2 linked regions of the Arabidopsis thaliana genome follow. The protein of the gene in region 1 interacts with the protein of each later gene in a biochemical or structural test. Each region holds a gene or a part of one and is shown on either strand. Other genes may lie near its edges. The genes, in order: AT4G34090 and ATPC1.

What was found.
Region 2: the proteins of AT4G34090 (region 1) and ATPC1 form a complex in vitro, tested with the Arabidopsis thaliana proteins (one study listed by BioGRID).

Annotation. Positions count from the first base shown.
Region 1 is NC_003075.7:16,324,103-16,334,026, reverse strand, and holds AT4G34090 (cyclin delta-3), read left to right. Parts: upstream 1-3,811; 5' UTR 3,812-3,916; coding exon 3,917-4,163; intron 4,164-4,270; coding exon 4,271-4,354; intron 4,355-4,498; coding exon 4,499-4,573; intron 4,574-4,663; coding exon 4,664-4,706; intron 4,707-4,803; coding exon 4,804-4,861; intron 4,862-4,962; coding exon 4,963-5,118; intron 5,119-5,203; coding exon 5,204-5,266; intron 5,267-5,363; coding exon 5,364-5,462; coding exon of another isoform or gene 5,463-5,507; intron 5,508-5,533; coding exon 5,534-5,629; intron 5,630-5,724; coding exon 5,725-5,976; 3' UTR 5,977-6,096; downstream 6,097-9,924. Other genes in the region: CER9 (RING/U-box superfamily protein), read right to left, coding at 1-140, 224-384, 544-912, 992-1,203, 1,296-2,057, 2,164-2,847, 3,102-3,437; AT4G34080 (myosin-4 protein (DUF641)), read right to left, coding at 6,230-7,075; AT4G34070 (Calcium-binding EF-hand family protein), read left to right, coding at 8,774-8,826, 8,947-9,084, 9,173-9,275, 9,379-9,483, 9,642-9,727, 9,903-9,924. UniProt on the Arabidopsis thaliana protein: Involved in the assembly of the F(1) ATP synthase in chloroplast thylakoid membranes. Functions downstream of the CPN60 chaperones to promote assembly of the catalytically active core of the chloroplast ATP synthase.
Region 2 is NC_003075.7:2,347,642-2,356,940, reverse strand, and holds ATPC1 (ATPase, F1 complex, gamma subunit protein), read left to right. Parts: upstream 1-4,922; 5' UTR 4,923-5,058; coding exon 5,059-6,180; 3' UTR 6,181-6,443; downstream 6,444-9,299. Other genes in the region: AT4G04650 (RNA-directed DNA polymerase (reverse transcriptase)-related family protein), read left to right, coding at 1,728-2,602, 2,829-2,952. UniProt on the Arabidopsis thaliana protein: Produces ATP from ADP in the presence of a proton gradient across the membrane. The gamma chain is believed to be important in regulating ATPase activity and the flow of protons through the CF(0) complex.

The sequences.
Region 1 (9,924 bases):
CTTGAATACAATCCCACACCATTTCCATATTTGGTTAAGCAAGACTGAAGTCCTCTTTGACTTGACATGCTCGATAGCATACCTGGCCCCAGATATGGTAGTCCAAAAGGCATATGTGCCAATGACGAAAGCATACAGATCTACATATTTTTAGGGAATACTGTTAATAATGTGTAACCCGTGCCAAAGAATGACTCAGAAGATCAAAATTAACAAACATTACCATTGCACTTGATGCCATGAGTTATTGGAAGAATGGGAATGGCACTGAATAGAGCACGTCCCAGCGAAACTGGCACAACTATCAATGCTGAATTGAAGAGAAGAAGAGTCACCCATGCAACAAGTAGAAGGAGAATTATCCGGACCACAAAGTTGTACCTGCTAAAAATATACATTCATATCAGGGGAAGCCCTAATGGGAGTCTTAAAGTACTTAGTCAACTCTATATACCAAGCGAAAAGTCCTGTTAATTTATTCAAGTATGCCAAAATTCTTAATATCAAACAAGCTATTAGCTTATTTTTAAAGTAAGAACTTACTCAGAATCAGATTGTTCGTCATCATCTTCATATTCCTCACCCGTGTTGACATTCCCAGCACGGAGGCGACTTCTGTTAGGGTCATCAGCTACTGGAAGCGCAGCCATGGCCCTGTCAGGTCCTCCGACCTGCAACACTTGTGCTCTGTTCTGCCTTCCTGGTTCACCATTTCCATTGTCCTGACCAATGTTGTCTTCTGGTCTTGGCAAGAGGAAGTCTGTTAAACCAAGCGCCCAACCAACCCCAGTGAACCAGCAGCGTAGAAGGGACTTAATTGTGGTCCGAAGTCTGAAATGCTCGATGATAAATGGAATGCATATTTGAAACAGAAGCATGTCGGCGGGAATCTCAGTGAATGGGTCGGATACACTGCATATATGCCCAAGTTAGGAAAGACCTAATCAAACACAAAATCTCCAAAAACAAGAGGTTAGTCAATATTTCTTACGATATGTCAAGTGGAAAGATTGAAGGAGCCATCCGGATCGCAAGTTTGACTGGTAAAAATACCAGCATCACAATCAAACTTCCATACACTGCAACTGATAACAGTACCCTCCGAGCATGCTTGTGCACTGGATCATCAATCAAATCTCGGAATGGATTGTAATTAGGATCTGCTGGATCACGAAGGAAATACAGAACTCCAGGACGAAGAACCTGCAATTGGCACAAAGTGAAAAGATATATTTAGATAGCAGCAGCGAAAAAAACTATTTCTAGAATGAAAATGAGTAGGGACAACACAGTACCCCTCGAAGAAGGCTGACGAAGATGCTTATTTGCAACATGTACATGATTCCAACAACCCAATGAACAAGTGAGCTTGCCAGAGGAGAAATTGATAAAAACTGTACCCTGTGGGACATTGTTTTACCGAACATCCTAACAGTGCAAACATCTAGCCACCAACCACACATCAGAGGAAAGACCCCAAGCTCGATGACCAAAAGAAAGGCAACTTTGATCATGGTCATCAGATGCCTCATTGCTGCCAAGAACTGTCTAAGGAGGGATGGTACAGCTTCTACTATAGATGCAATACCATAAAATCTTCCAACAGTCAGTGGCTCACCCTTGGCATATCGAATCAGTGCAATGATCCCAAGGTAAAGGAACACCAGAAATACGATAAACATGTACCCAACAGCCAGAGTTGTAATATCAGAAAGCTTTGAGGCCCCAACAGTAGAACCTTTCAGGAGATCAGTAGCAACTGATAGCGTATTGTTTGCTCCATTCAATTCACTTCCGTTGACTTTCATCATTTCAGTGAGCTGACCAAGCAGCCCATTTCCTTGGCCCTCGCTAGTCAAATTCGAGACAGCAGTCAGCGCACTCTTCAGAGTAATATTTTCCAATGAGAGTCCGGTATCTGTAAGATGCAATGATGCAGCCACAGCAGGGCCTCTAGCAGCAGCAAAAAGCCATGACACGTGATACAATATAATCCGTCCCAAGGTAAAGGGCACGAAGATAACAACACCAAGGAATATCATATTGCTTGCTAGAACCTGCAAAATTATGCACATCATGAAGATTTAATAAGGGCCAATAGTGAAGAAGAAGGAACATAGAATTTAAAATATACATTGCCAAAAAGTAGAAACATCAACTTACAGTAAAGGCATTCTCAACCAAATGAAACACTGGACCTTGCATTCCAACCAGCTCATCAAATGGAACGTCTTCTGCACCATCAGCGTCATCCAACCCATCAAACATCTGTTCAACCTGAGCCTCAAGACGAGCTGCTTGTATGTCCAACCTTGCCAGAACATTTTCAGGATTCCTTCTAGCAATCTGACCAACCGCAGCACCCTGATCCCCAGCATCTTCACCATTCCCCTCTCCAGCAAGATTCCTATTAGCCTGTCCAGCAGGTCTTCTTGCAGCACGAGCACCATTTCTGTCCACATCATCATCTCTCTCTTCTTGTCCCCCAAGCTCTCGTAAGTGCCTAAAGTAGTCCCTTAATGAAGTAGCTCCAAGGAAGATGAAGACAATACTTGCAGATAGTAAGAACCCATGCAAGCAATCAGTGAGAATTACTGTGGTGGAGATGTGGCTTAAGAACAACCTTTGAGCTTCACCAAAAGTTCGCACGAAAGCCAAACGCCATATCCAAAATGTAATGAAAGGTATAGTGAGAAGCCAGACAGAAAGCACAAAACTCAACCGCAGAAAGAACTGTAAAACATGGCAAGCTTTCATAGCAATGCCAACTACAAACTCCTGGAAAGGGAGCCTTGACGGAGCATTGTCAGCATATACTGGGGAGAATGAAAAAGGATGCTTGCAAACCTGCAGAGATGAAATTAACAATAAGCACGTGTTCTCTTCTATGTGGAACTCCTACTTAAGAAACACATATTAAAAGAGAAGACTTTAAACTGTCAACGTTGAATATGAGCACACAGAAATATGCAATTGCCCATTCATTTACCCATATCAAAATTCCTAAAAGGCATTCAAATCAACACGAATCCAGATCTTAATTAGAATACGAATCTTCAAAATCTCAACAATCAAATAATAAAGAGGAAAAGAAACAAAACCTCGCATTGACGAGCGTTGCTGTGATTAAGCCACTGAAGGAGACAATCCTGGTGAACAAATTTGATACTTCCGCTACAGGCACACGGATACCGAAGCGGATTGTCTGCATCACCAGGATTTCTGCAGATCCTGCAAACGTCCTCTTCATCTTCGTCATCATCAACGTACCTCGATCCTGTCGCCGTCGAAACTGCAGGATCCATGTTTGAGAAAGGATTGGGTGATGCCTGATTCGGCGAGGAAGAGGAAGAAGAAGAAGATACGGAAGGCTCGGAGACGACCTCAGAAGCAGCCGCGCCAGAGATGGACAACGAATCGGCCGGGGAAATCTCCATAGAGAAATCCGGGCTATGAATTACGTATTGCGCAGACGGTGGTAACGGAGACGGCAACGGCGGAGCGAGTCGACTCGGTGAGTCTGATAACGCCGAGCTAAGAGGAAAGGCGTCGTCTATCGCGAATAATTATTATCCTCGAGAATTAAAATAGAAAAAGATCGGAAAAAAAATCAAAGACACCGAGAAAATTGATTATATGGTAGGCCTAACCGGGTCTTGTAAACCGGTAGTTGACGAAATTGACCTTCCCTCTTGCACATTTAATGACGGTTTTTGTCGGTTACGCGTCTTTAGTCTTTGTTGGGTTTGGGCCTTAAATTGTAACAGACTAAGCCCATCTCATTTTTTTTTCTTTTTTTTTTGCTGAATCAGAAACAAAATCAATGGCTATCTTTTGCTGCTACTGCTGAATTACGAAAATTCTGTGAGGTTGAGGAAGCAGAGTGAAGAGAAAGATAGAGAGATAAGAAGAAGCCATGGGTTCGATTTCGATGCACATAACTCCCTCTACTGCTCTCCCTATACGCCATTTCAGAGCTAGAGTCTCTTGTTGCTCTTCTGGTAATTTCGTTTTTCCTCCGTTTGTGAGAATTGCATGTGATTGTCGAATTATAGTAATTGTCGATTGTTTGATGGCTTTTCAAATCGAGAAAATGCTTGAGCTTATATCTTTGTTGAGTATTTTAGAACAATCTTTTGTAGGAAAATGCAGTGACTATGACTGTCTTTTTGATTATTCTTGGTGGAGACAACAAATTAACAAAAGAATGTGTAATAATTCTTCCAAAGAGACACATTGGGATTGACTTAAGATTAGCGTTGTTGTGTAGGGCATGTATCATTTATCAAAGATGTTGCTGCCACTGAACCTCCAATGCATCTTCATCACTTACTCAAAGTGCTTCAAACAAGAGGTAAAATAATGCTCAATTTTGTTCCTCATTTATGTCCAAACTTATGTATTCGTTTCTTTTCATCACTTATTCTGGATTTGTAATAATGGAGAAAGGGAAACTTATGGTTCTTAAAGTCTCAGTTGCTTCATATATCTTCTGCAGGTGAGACAATCATATCTCCTGGAGCTAAGCAGGGACTGATCCCTCTTGCTATTCCGCTTTCGAAGAATTCGTCAGGTAAGACCACACTTTCGATAGAATCCATTAGCTTTTTCCAGGAGCTTGTCTTTAGTTTTGTTTTTCTGGTTTTTTTTTTTGTCTAAGTAGGCTCTGTTACTGCGCTTTTGAGATGGCCTACTGCTCCACCAGGGTAAGAGATTTGGATCTCTTTCTTGGTAACTCTTGCAGTAGTAAAAATATGTTGTTGGGTTATTCTTGGTTTTTAACTTTTTTGTATTCGAGAACAGAATGGATATGCCGGTTGTGGAAGTTTGGAGGAGTGGAGTCAGGCTTATAGCTAGAAATGTAAAGACTTCTCATTCTGTTTATACGTAGCTTATCCTTTTAAGAGGATTTATGTCTTTTTTGTGTTACCAAGAAACAATCTTACATTTTTTGATATTCAGGTAGATGAATACATTCACCGGATTCTAGTTGAAGAAGATGCACAAGAGTTGACAGAACTATATCGTGCTTCGGGAGAGGCAGGTGAAAAACTTTACGAAAAGGGTGCTTTTGCTGAATCTGAAATTGACAATCTCGATGTCTATGTTTTGAAAAAGGCAAGACTGAAAAACTCATGACTTATAGATAAAAGGTTATGTACACCACAATAAACAGTATTTGCTTTTGTTTTGTATCGTCTAGGTTGGACTGTTTCCAGATTTGTTGGAGCGGAAAGTATTACGGCATTTTGATGAAGGAGATCATGTAAGACATTTGACGCATATGATATGACATTCTATTATCATGAATCTCTCTTCTGTGACACTTTTTCAGGACATTTTCTTCTTTTTGTCTATGGAAGGTTTCAGCTATGGTGACAGGAGAATTTTACACAAAGAAAGACCTCTTTCCAGGATTTGGACGACCTTTTGTATATTATGCAAACATACTACAGAAGTTTGTAAACTTTACATACCTAAAACATATCTCCATTTTATTTTCGTAGAGAAAGATGTAGCCACTTATCTTCAGATTCTTATTCGCAGGGTAGGGCGGAATGTAGAAGCAAAAGATGCGGCTAGGGTAGCATTGAGATCACCGTGGTGGACATTAGGATGTCCGTATGAGGTATGACAAAAGTTTTTTTGTTCTTCTTTTTCGGTTGTACTGAGTTTTAAAGCATAGAGACATATTCATGGTCATGGTATCTTGAAAACATGCAGGAGGTTGCTAGTATAGCACAATGGGAAGACGAGCAGATCGAATTCATAAGGGAAAAAGTGAGTGATGAAGGTCGTTTTGAAGATTTGCATAAAGGCAAAGCTCCAATCCAAGTTGCGTTGGATGTTGCGGCTTTTCTCTTGGATTTGGCTTCTATCGAAGGAACTTGGTCCGAATCTTTAAACCATATTGCTAAATGTTATGAGGAAGCTGGATTACACCATATCTCTAATTTCGTTTTGTACACAGATTGAATCCATATTAATGTATGTTCTTCACAACACTTTCCATGTATGAATCAGAGAACTCACTACCCTTTTTCACTTGGAAGATCTTTGCAGCTGGATCAAAAGAGTAAGCAAGCTTGTGCAAGATCCATATCGACTTTGCAAGTTTTAAGAAGGCCTGGTAAAATGCAGTCCTCGGGTGGCCACCTCCTGTCACGTAGTCACGCTGGTCTAGATTTCCAAAGAAAGAAGCTTCCATCTTTGGGTGGACTAAGAGGAGCTACTTGCTCCTGCAGAATATACCAAAGTTGGAATCAGGGTTTGTACCTAGAGCATCTAGTGGATCCATGTCCTTGAGAGCAAGAAACTGGCGGAAAAAGGTGTCTGTGTCATCATCGGCCATAACCGTAGCACTCTCTGAGTTTACTGAGAAGTTCTTCTGCTGAAACCCACTGAACATCCTTTGGCATATGTATGATTCAAATGCATATTCCTTGTGAGGCCTCTTGGCGTAAACAACATCAGGCTCAATAGAATTGGCTGCAGTATCAAGATCCCATCCTGCTGCTTTCATCATGTTGATTAGCGGCTTGGAGAAATCATGCACAACTTTAGCAGCAGCTTCGTAAGTAGATACAAAGAGTTCAGTAGTCAAGTCAGGAAACTGTAAATTTCCATCTCCACCAGAACCTTGGTTTGTAGACATTCCTCTTAACTTAAGATTCTTCTCAAGCTTAAGCCGTTTCTGGTTTGCTTCCTCAATCTTCTGCAGCATCTGCGTGATCTCGGAATCCTTGTTCTGAATCTCAGACTGAAACTTCTTCACCATGACCTCATAAGTCTTCAACAAACTCTGCTGCTCTTGAATCTCTGCAGCTAAACGAGAGTCTTGTGGAGAGACACATACAGGCTTGGGGTTATTCTCTCTGTAAAAATGCTTCATTTCGGAAAGATTCTTGAGTTCAGAAATGACAACTTTGTCCGCTGCCTGAATCTTCTCGGGATCGTAAGGAGTATGAGCACTTTGAAGCTCGATATAAGCAGATTTCAAAGACGAGATGTTTCCAAAGAGATTGGAGATAAGTGCTTCCATAGCTTCAGGATTTTGATTGATAGACTCTTCCATTGGTTGAGGATGGATTATGTATGTGTTTCATGTTTGGATCATAAAAATATAAGAGACAGTGAAATCAGCATTATGCATGTCACCAACAGAAAGTAAATAAGAGTATCAAATACTATAACAAGTACCTACAAATTTGCAAAAGAACGATCCAACTTGCAAAAAAGGTTCTTAAATTCGAAAAACTATTGTCGCTTGGGGGAAAACAATGATAACCAAGAACTCATAGTCCCTAAAGTCAGCAAAGCTTTATTTATATAAGACCTTTCCTTGCGCCTTAAACCACTGGTTTCAGCCTTTGAGCTTTCAGAACCTGCCAGGTCAATGAGGTTCTGCAGATATATGTGAAAGTGAAATTATGGTCCGTTGTTCATCTTTAAGTGTTCAGACAGTGCAATAATAAACAGTTTGTCAGAGTTAATGAAACAGTAAGCTATTACCGAACATAAAATCACTTGATAAAAAGAAAAGATGTTATAGCAGCTCCACTTTCATTATTGTCAACCAATGTATTGACCATGGGTGTCATAAGAGAAAAGTTCTACTAGGTTGCAAAGTGTGTAAAGCAGAGAACTAACCTAAAGAATGCAACTATAAGCTAACTACAGTAAAAGTAAAGGCTTTATAGGGTCAACAGAACGACACTAGCTACATGCATAATGTGAGTTTGATTTCCTGTCTGGGACCTCACTCAAGCATAAACCAATGTTAACAATCCACAGAACAAACATATCAAACAAAGTGACTATGACATTTTCTTTGGAATGCAGAGCCTTAAGGTGGTACCTTTCCTGTATAATGTAACTGTGGCTTGCTATGGCTATCCACATATGTCTTTGGATAAAGTTTTGAAGACGAGGTTGTTGAAAATACAAGGGAATCACAAAGGCTTTAACTTGCTTAATCCAGCATTTGTAGACTTTGATATTTGTTTAGATCTTATCACAAAGGAAATTCCAACTTTCGGTGACTGAAAAAAAAGATGCAAGTACAAAACTTTATCAAATAATAAGAGCTAGCAACAAGTATACTATTGCACTTTTTTTGAGTTTTTAAGCCAATCAGAAGGCTATATTTCGTACCCACTCGCAGAAAGAGCGCGTTGAGCGAGTGAGGGCGATTCTGTGGGTAAACCCCTTTCCAATTCATGACTTTTTTAATCGACGCACATCTCTCCAAATTCTCCATCGCGTGACTCTTTTAGTTATTTTCAACAAAACCAATGAAACCGAACCGAAATCAGTTTTAATTTCAAAACCAATACAAACCAAACCGAATCAGCAAATAGTGTGAGGCAACAATTCTGGACAGAAAATTTATCAACATCTCAACAACGGAAAAAAGAGAAAACACCACAACTCAAAATCATAAATCATAGAAAAATATCCAAAAAAATCACAGTAGCCTTTGATTAAACTTTCAAATTGCAAAATCTCAGAATCAAAGCCAAGAAGAATCCTGAAGATTTCTACTTCCATGGCATCCAATAGAGGAAGAAGAACAATCTACTGCTTCAATTAAACATGAAAAACGATTCAGAGAGCTTAGCTTTACTAGTTTCAGTAAAATTTCTCGGCAACAAAGTCAAAACAGACATGAACACATAAAAAAAGATACTAAAACAGAACTGTATATTCGACAAGAACAAGAACGAATTGCAATAATTAAACAGATTAGACTCACCAGTGGAAATCTAAAAGCATGAATCTAGTTGTGAGCTCTTCGTGTTTGCCCCCCTTTATTTTCTGTTCTTTGTGTGATTTCAACTCACAACTTTTATATTTTACTCTGCTGCTTCGAGATCAACGCATTAAAAGTAATGGAGTACATTAAGAATATTTCGATTTTAAGGGGTTGAAGTTGTAATTTTGAAGAAGTGGAAGATCAATCAAAAATAATAGAAGAACAGAGACGACGAAACCTGCCGGAGAACTGAGGGGAGAAAAAAACCCGGCGAAAAAGGGAAATTCGAATTCGTCTTCTGTTGATCATTGCTTCACTTCTGCTTCCAGGTCTTCATCGGAACCAATCTCACTTTCACTCTCTAATTTCTAAATTGAAAATCGATCTTATCAATTGTGTGTTTGTGTTTTATTGCAGAGCTTTTACTCAGAAGAAGCTCGCTGATCTCAAATCTCTCTTTTTTTCCCTCGCTTCCAAGTCTCAGAGCAATGACCAATACGTCTCGTACCCTGTTTTCCAGGTTTTGACAAAAAAAAAATTGTGTTCTGTTGTCATCTGGTTTTTGTGGTTGATAATTTTGAATTAAGCCTTACACGATGTGTGTCGGATTTCGATTTTCACAGGAGTATTTTGGTCTGAGTGGTTCTTTAGGAGAAAGGATCTTTGATATGGTTACTCAACACAGGAAAGATGATAAAATGACTTTTGAAGATCTTGTTATTGCTAAGGTATACTCAAGTCTTTTTATCCTCTTAATCATTTGGTTTCTTCTTCTGAGCTTTTGAAGATCTTAAAATGCAGAGTTCAATAGGATTAGCAGTTCTAGGACTCGATATAGAATTTGAGAGATTCGATTGTGTTCAACTCAATTCCTGTTGCTTTTTAGGCAACATACGAGAAAGGAACTGATGATGAGATTGCTGAGTTTATTTACCAGACTTTGGATGTTAATGGCAATGGGGTCTTGAGAAGGTATCCATCTTGTGGCTTCAAGTTGCTTCTGTTATCCAAGTTTCATTACCTGTTTTGTTGTATGTCCATTACTGGTCTCTTGATCCACTTAACATATTTGGATAGAAAATGAATTGAGATTGTTAGATTAGATGGGGTTATTCTCTGAATGTGACACATTCTAGTATGTCTTCAGGTCTGATTTAGAGTCGTTCCTG
Region 2 (9,299 bases), about 14 Mb from region 1:
GACAATAATCGCTTCTTCAACGTTTGTTGGCCGGTTTTCTGTCCAGAATTTATGGCTTTTTCAGTATGGATGTCTGGCTTTTGTCCAGCGACGTTTTGGGCAACGTTTGATCTGTTTTCGTTCTGACACTGTCCGGTTTTTTACGGCGGTGGTCTGCTTGCGTCTGGCTTCCGTTGGCTTCTTTAGCGGCGGTGGGCTAGCTAAGGTCCAGAGTTTCACCGCCTATCTTCGGTGTCTCGTCTAGCTTTTGGCCAAATTGATTTCCGGTTTAGATTTATGTTTTCATCTCTCGATTTCTTTATATTTGGTTTGATTGAGGTCTTTTGTGTTTCCATTTGGAATATAATTCCTTGAACCTCCTTTGTTTAAAGGGCTCGATTTGTTTTCCAAGCTTATCGATTTCAATTTTTTAGGAACAAATTGAGTTGCAGATTAAAGTTTTTTACGCCTCTCGGTTGAATCTAATGCAATTGTGGCTATTTCTCTAACCGTTTTATGGAGACGAGTGCTTTTTTGTTTGTTTTTAGGTGTTGTTGAAAGCTCAAAGACTTACTCTACGTCGATGTTCCTTGGATTTCGGGAGTCAATTGCCTTTGGTAGATCTTTCCTTTCCTGATTTGCTGATGAAGTTTGGTGGGGTTCTCTAATTAAAAATTGATAGACTTCTCTTGAAGCTCTGGCGGTTTCCATGGTTTTGGAGTTCTCTGAGTTGCTAACCAGTTCGGCGATGAACAGCGACGACTAAGGCTTCTTCAGTCCACGTGTTTCAACTTTGTTTCTTCACATCACACGTGGCTTTTGGGTGGAAGGCAATCTTTAAATTTACTTTCTCTAAGGGTTTTGTTTCCTGGACTGGGCTTTCTTTATGGGCATCTGCTTATAAGCTAGACTTGTTTGTTTTTATGCAACATGGATGACTATACTTTAGTTGATCCAACGTTGTAAGATTTAATATGTGTCAACTGTCAAGATTTGTAAGTGGAAGGTTCCACAGTTGTATCTTTACAACACAAGTTTTAAAATAAAGTATAACACTTATGAGAAAAAAAAAACTTTTTAATGAATCACTTTATTTCATGTCTTATTTTCTATTTAACTCCATTCATAGAATGAAGCTTTCCTTTTTTCTAGAGTTTGAAAATGTTCTTGAAAGTTTTCTCAACTCGAAATCCATCTCCTTTGAGTTTTTTTGTTTTGTTTTGTTGAACCCCTAGTTAAGGTTTTGAGTGAGCACACATAAACCTTTTTGAGTATTGCTTTAGATCCGATGAAGAATAAATCATACAATCGACAATAGTATAAGAGCACACATAAAAACCCAAGATATTATCATTAGTGTAGTCCATCTAAATCAATGTTATTAGGTTTTATAATAAGAGTTTTTCATATATATAAATATATATATATGGGTTCATATATATAAATATATATATATGGGTTCATATATATAAGTCCATATATATGTTGTGTAAATTAATGTAGCCAAAGCTGATTATTGGTGCAGCCACATTCAATCTTTTATGAACTAAAACAAATATAAATTTTTTCTTTTTGGTTCCTCGCATTTTAATAAAACTCTTTAATGAACTACTTCATTATTTGTCTTATTTTCTATTTTAACTCCACAATTACAGGATTCGACTCCACTTATGTGAAGAACCTTTCCTCTCATGTAGAGGACGAAGATGTCCTTGAAGGTGTTGAAATGATATCCAAGATGGTGGAAGATGTGTAAGCTCAGAGTTGTGGCAAGGCCCTTTATTGTTTGTGAGGTTGGTTCCGGGGTCACCGCTAAGTTTTGGCATGATAATTGGATTGGCCTTGGCCCCCTTATAGAGGTAATCGGTCCTCTAGGCCCTCGTACAGTTGGTTTGCCTATTGATGCTGTGGTTAGGGATGCGTTAAGGGGCACGTCTTGGTGGATTGCATCAAGCCGTAGCAGGAATCCAATCATTGTTCAGCTTAAAAATCTTCTCCCGGAGGCTCAGGGTTTGCTTGACTGTCAGCATGACGACTCCTTTCTTTGGAAAACGGACCTTCATGCACCATCAAACAGATTCTCCGCTCCAAGAACTTGGTCTGCTCTGCATCCGCAATCTCACACCGTCCCCTGGCATAAGGCGGTCTGGTTTAAGAACCATGTTCCTAAGCACGCCTTCATTTGTTGGGTTGTGGCGTGGAATAGATTGCACACAAGGGATAGGCTTCAGAATTGGGGTCTCTCGATCCCTGCTGAGTGTCTTCTTTGCAATGCTCATGACGATTCGAGAGCACATCTCTTCTTTGAGTGCCAGTTTAGTGGTGTCGTGTGGAGGTTTTTTACAGCCTCAACCAACCTTAATCCTCCTGCCCAATTAATGGACTGTCTTAACTGGCTCTTATCTCCCTCAAGGGAAAAAAATATTTGTCTCATTATCAGGCTGGCCTTTCACTCTTGTGTTTATGCAATTTGGAGAGAAAGAAACCAACGTCTCCACTCCGGCGTCTCTCGTTCTACTGAGTCTATCTTGAAGGACATCCAGCTCATCATTCGCGCTCGTCTGGATCCTTTGTCTCGCAGCACGGCTCATCAACCTAACGCTTTGTCCTTGCTAGGAACTTGGTTTTCGTTGTTCTAGTTCAGGGCTGTTTGTTTTGGTTTTCTAGTGTTGCAGGTTTCGTCTCCCCTTTTGTTTGTTGCAGGAAAAGGTTTGTTTTCTCCTGTGTTGGGCATGTGGCCTTTATTTGGGCTTTTGCCATTGTATGTTTTAAAGTTGAATGGAAATTTATGAACTAAAAAAAAAAAAAAAAAAAATGGTGGAAGATGCCCAAAAAGTTGGTAGCTATAGTGAACCAGAAATAACCGTCTATAAAGCACCCGAAATTGAAGTTAAATTGGATAACTTTAATGAAAAGACTGATATCTATAGTTTCGGGATTGTTTTTTTGAGTTTGGCGCTATTTTGGATCTGACATGGAGAGGGCTCGTACCTTACATAAATACCACCACCACCACCCCCCCCCCCCCTTTCAATAGCTATTGTTGTTTTAGATATATTGATACATCAATGTTTTGTTGTCTAAGTAAGGTATTTGCATTTTGGATTTCGATTCAGGACATTCTGGTTAGGCACGGTTTTGATTCATTTCATAATCGACTTGACACAAATTGCGTGGATGGTGCCGATTTTGTGACCTAAATACTAACATCAAATTTTGTGACCTAAAAGAAGTCTTATATATTTTGAAAGTTGCATTATCATCATTCCATTTCAAAGAAATAAAAAAGAAAGAAAATAAAATAATCAAACCCTTAAAAGAACTTACTCATTTCTTGCATATTACATATGAGTAGCAATTTGTATTGCCTTTCCACTAAGGATCTACCTCTTTTAGGCAACTGAAAATGTTGAATTTGATGGATCATAATCTTCATTGTACTTAGGGTGGTCAACTCATTTTAAAGTCAGTTCTGGTGTGATGTGTAATCTTTGTTTGGTTGGGCTTTTATAACTCGAGCAACGAGTTCATATTAATACGGTGCAGATTTTACATAGATTGTTACTATAACCCTAAATCCAATAAGGTGTATGACTCAACATGTTCAGCATCCTTAATGTTCTATTATTTGAAATGGTGGACGAGTATGCAATAATTGACGGAAAGAATAATGAGCTTTACTTCATGTAAGCATCAAAGATTCATAGGTCGATTTGATCCTTAAGAGATGAATAGAATGTCACTAGATTGTTGGTGATTAATAAAGATGATATTAGTTTGTACAAATCCATGAGAAACTGAGCGTACGTAATAATATGTTTGGTGATGAAAATAAAACAAAACAAATAAAACTAAGAACTTGTTTATAGCAAGAGGTTGGGAATTTTTGTGGTTTCTGTGTGATTTCGGTATGTTCTTGTAACAATAAGCATATTCCAAAATATGTATCCGGATGTAGTTGAAGATACAATAATATATAATTTTAACCAAAAAGAAAACTACAATTTTCATGATAAAATTAATATTTTATTGATTTTAATATATAAACATCTTATAATTAATTTAATGAATAAAATTTTATAAATTTTTATATCTATAATTTAGTTAATTCTTATTATATGTTTATTATTTCGTTCTAATTTCTAACCAAATATTAGTTTTTAATATTTGTTTTGATCTGTAGAATTATTTTATCGGAATTTTTGGAATAAATCGAAGCAATTAACAAATGAAACCATTGTTGTTAGTTGTTACACTATATGATTTTTTCGTTATAACCAAATATTTGTTTTTCTCTATAAAGTTTTGCTTATCAAAAAAATTTTGGAGAAAATTGAAGCAATTAACAAATTAAACCAGATTAAAAAATATATATATATACATATATATATATATCATTTTAAGTCTCTTGTAAGGTAATTTGATTGGTATATATATATACTAATGGACCAAAACCATACCAAAGAAATTAAACCAAACCTAATTACTCTAATTTCTATCCTTTGTCAGATATTTTCTCTCGTTGGGGTCAAAAACTCATAAAATAAAAAAGCAATTAACAAATCAAACCAGATTACAAATTATATATATATATATATATATATATATATATATATCATTTTAAGTCTATTGTAAGGTAATTTGATTGGTATATATATATACTAATGGACCAAAACCATACCAAAGAAATTAAACCAAACCTAATTACTCTAATTTCTATCCTTTGTCAGATATTTTCTCTCTTTGGGGTCAAAACTCATAAAATAAAAAAGCAATTATTGGTTGGCTGATAAACAATTACAAAGAAGTAAGATATATACCACACACCCCAAAAAAAAAAAACATTGAAGATATCGAACCATCCACTAATACAACGCCACGTCAACAAAAAGAGGATCCCACAATTTGCAGACTCCAAATAGCAAATGTAAAACCTTATCTCCAAACCTAATCTCATCACCTTCTCTTCCCTCCACTCAAATCTCTCCTCTCTTCTTTCTTCTTCTTCAATACAATACAATCAAAAGAACAGAGAGATAAGGTTAGAGCAAAACACTGTCTGAAACAAACAACAAAAAAATGGCTTGCTCTAATCTAACAACAATGTGGGTTTCATCAAAACCATCTCTTTCTGCTGATTCATCTTCCTTATCATTCCGATCTGTTCTCAAGTGCCCAACTAACACTTCCTCACCTCCTTCACGAGCTTCCTCTGTTTCACCACTCCAAGCGTCTCTTCGTGAGCTCAGAGACCGTATCGATTCAGTCAAAAACACTCAAAAGATCACCGAAGCTATGAAGCTTGTCGCTGCAGCTAAAGTCAGGAGAGCTCAAGAAGCTGTTGTCAATGGACGACCATTCTCAGAAACCCTAGTTGAAGTTCTTTACAACATCAACGAACAGCTTCAAACCGATGATGTCGATGTTCCCTTAACCAAAGTCAGACCGGTTAAGAAAGTAGCTCTCGTTGTCGTCACCGGTGATCGTGGATTATGTGGTGGATTCAACAATTTCATCATTAAGAAAGCAGAGGCAAGAATCAAAGAGCTTAAAGGTCTAGGTCTTGAATACACAGTCATTAGCGTGGGCAAGAAGGGAAATTCTTATTTCCTCCGTCGCCCGTACATCCCCGTCGACAAATACCTAGAAGCCGGAACTTTACCTACGGCTAAAGAAGCTCAAGCTGTGGCTGATGATGTCTTCTCTCTGTTTATAAGTGAAGAAGTCGACAAAGTCGAGCTCTTGTACACAAAGTTTGTCTCTTTGGTCAAATCAGAACCCGTGATCCACACGCTACTGCCTTTATCACCTAAAGGAGAGATCTGTGACATTAATGGAACCTGTGTGGATGCTGCGGAAGATGAGTTTTTCAGGTTAACGACAAAAGAAGGGAAATTGACAGTTGAAAGAGAGACTTTTAGGACACCAACAGCTGATTTCTCGCCGATCTTGCAATTCGAGCAAGACCCTGTTCAGATTCTTGATGCTTTGTTGCCTCTGTATCTTAACAGTCAGATTCTTAGGGCATTACAGGAGTCATTGGCTAGTGAGCTTGCAGCTAGAATGAGTGCAATGAGTAGTGCTTCGGATAATGCATCGGATCTCAAGAAATCGCTTTCGATGGTGTATAATAGAAAGCGTCAAGCTAAGATTACTGGAGAGATTCTTGAGATTGTTGCTGGAGCTAATGCACAGGTTTGATTTGTTTTGAACCCTCTTTGAATCTTCTATATGAGTCCAAAACTCTCTTCTTCTTCTTTTTTTTTCGTTATCGTTTGTATAATGTATAATTGATAATCTCTAGAACTCTTTATAATCATGCAATTACAAACAAAAACGCGGTTGTATCTATTTTGGCTTTTCATTGGATAAAATGATGGAGATCTTCGTTGAATATTTGTGGATGATGAAGAGTTTTTGTAGGATCCTTTGGAGGAATAAGATTTTGGTTTCTTTGGTTGTTAGTTGTGAATCCTTTTCCATTGTTGTTATGACTAAGGATCTTAGTTAGGGACAACATTGAATCCTTTTGTTCACCCCATCTTTCAAGATTTCATAAGACTTTTTTGAATACCTCTGACTGGATTTGGTAGTCTTTAAATGTACATCGGAAGATACAAGTCTCGAGTCGTGACTAACCAACACAGCTGCTCCTTTGAACCAACTTAGTGAATTCCCCAAGGCAGTTATAGTTGGCTTGTCCAAGTGATTAGTTGGCTCGTCAACAAAGCAAAATGTGTGGGTTGGACATTGAGATGGAGGCTAACACAACCTTAGCCTTTTGTCCTTCAAACAATCGTGAAAATGAAGTGTAATGGTGTTGACTTGGGAGACCAAACCTGATCAGTTTCAAACGCACCGCATCAAGTTTAATATATTTCCTTTGGTCTTGGGTGAGGAGGATAAAGATCTAGGAAGAATATATCCAAGTGGGCTTCTCCACAAAAGAGTACCTTCCGATCCTCAGGTTCTGGCTTATTCTCACTTCACCCACAGTAACTAAATCTCCCGCAAGAACATTCAAAACAGTAACTAAATCTCCCGCAAGAACATTCAAAAGACTAGACTTTGCAGTTCCGTGAAACCCAAGTATCGCTACTCGTGTCCCCGCAACTATACGTACGTCCAATTTTTGAGAGCCTCAATTATGGCGTATTAACGCTTACCTCAATCAACTGAAGAAGGGGACGTGGGAGCTCCGTTGGTGCTGTAAAACCGAGCTCCAACCTATAAAAAAAAAACCTCACGTCGTCACTTGGAACTTGTAGTGTTGCCATCGAATTACCATGTATCTAAAAAACACAAAAAAAAAAGTTAAGAATTTTGTTTCCTATCTTCTTCAATTGCATATCCAACAAGACATTATTTAGTTTGTTTGTTTGTTCACCGCAGGCGGCAGCGGCAGCGGGAAACTCTACCGCAGATTGTTATTCGTTTCGTCGCCACTGCCGCTGACGCAACATTTATGTTCGTTTGGATGCCGCCGACGCTGCCGCTGCCGCAAGTATCTATGTTCGTTTCGCCGCCGCTGCGTTAGTTTTAACTTAATTCTTATTTTCTTAATATAAATTTGTATTATAATTATATTTGAATAAAAAAAATGTAATCTAAATATAGTTACATCCATAACATTTTTTATTTAACTAGTTATAATTTTTAGTTTTCTTTTGTAATTATAACGATAAAAATTTGTGAAAAATCATAAGCATAATTATAACAATAAAGTAGTACACCAAGTTATAAGCAAAAAAGATAGACAAAATCGTTAACTAAAATAATAAACCAAGTCACTAAAAAAAACATATCTAATAAGGTAAGCGACCTTTATTACATTCGTTCGTGATGTTGTTACGTAAAGCTTCCATCGCTCTGTCACCAATAGGCTTATATGCAACATGTTCTTCTCCTTCTTCTTCTTCTCCTTCTTCTTCTTCTTCTTCTTCTTCTTCTCCCTCTCCTTCTTCTTCTTCTCCTTCTTCTTCTTCTTCTTCTTCTTCATCATCAACATGATATTCTTCTATGCTTTGCCACTATAAAAAATCATGATCTTCCCGATGTGAATCCCTTATAAAATTGTGTAGTGCCATTGTCGCTGTTACAATCTTTATCCACTTAGTCAGACCATATTTTGGATGCTTACGATCTAAAATCCTCCATTTTGCTTTTCATACTCCAAATGTCCTCTCAATCACAGATCGCAAACCTGAATGCTTTCGGTTGAACAACTCTCGTGCAGTTACTGGTGGTCCTCCTCTACCAAACTGACCAAGATGATATCGCATCCTACGATGTGGACCAAGATACCCAGTCCTGGTGGGATATCCGAAGTCAACAAGATAATACTTCCCATTAGGCGGATGTGGGAAATAGGTTCATTCGTCGCACAATAATTCAAAACCTTTGTATCATGTGCTCTACCAGGTACACCGACATATGCATATATGAATTTCATATCGAAATTACATATAGCAAGAACATTCATTGTAGGTTCTAGCTTTCTACCTTTATATTTTTCTGCAGTTTGACTTGGAGGGCGAACCGGGACATGAGTTCCATCAAGTGCTCCAACACAATCTCTAAAAAAAGGCCAATATCGATCATCATTCTTCAAAACAGGGTTTACTCTTGTAAACTCACCTTCTTGTGGCTTTAATGTATCCGCTGCAAACTTTAATAGAGCACTCAGAACATCATCAATCTTTCTTTTCACTGTATCCAATGACCGTTGATATCTTGCAGCAATATCTCGAACAGTCTTATCCTAGCCAACCACCTCGAGAAACATGGCAACAGATTCCTCAAGGTAAACATTTTCAGACTCTTCTAATCCATATTTCCTAGTTAGCATCTTACATAAAGTTTCAAATGTTCTTTGGTTCATTCAGAGAATGTCATAACATTGTTGATCTGATCCATGCATAAGTTGTTGAACATGACACCAACCTGCTCCTCAATCTGTTCTATGATTTAATCTCTCCCTAGCTAGTAAGTGAATCAAGCAAACCATCATCATCACCATCATCATCATCATCATCACCCAACATCCATCTTCTAACCATCTGCAAAAAAAGTAACTCCCAATCAAAATAGATTCAAATTTTATCAAGTGTTAAGGTCATAAAAAAAAGACACGGAGCGTCAGAGCAACCCCAATGGTTGAGCTCTTCCAAATTTCTAAACAATAAATTTTGAGAAATTTAAAATCAAGAGTTTTTGTTAGTCCCATTTTTTCTTTGTCCAATGATAGAGCCCTTCAATGCATTTTTTTAAGAAAATTATTATTATTAAAATAAAAATTATAAATATTTTATTACATAAAA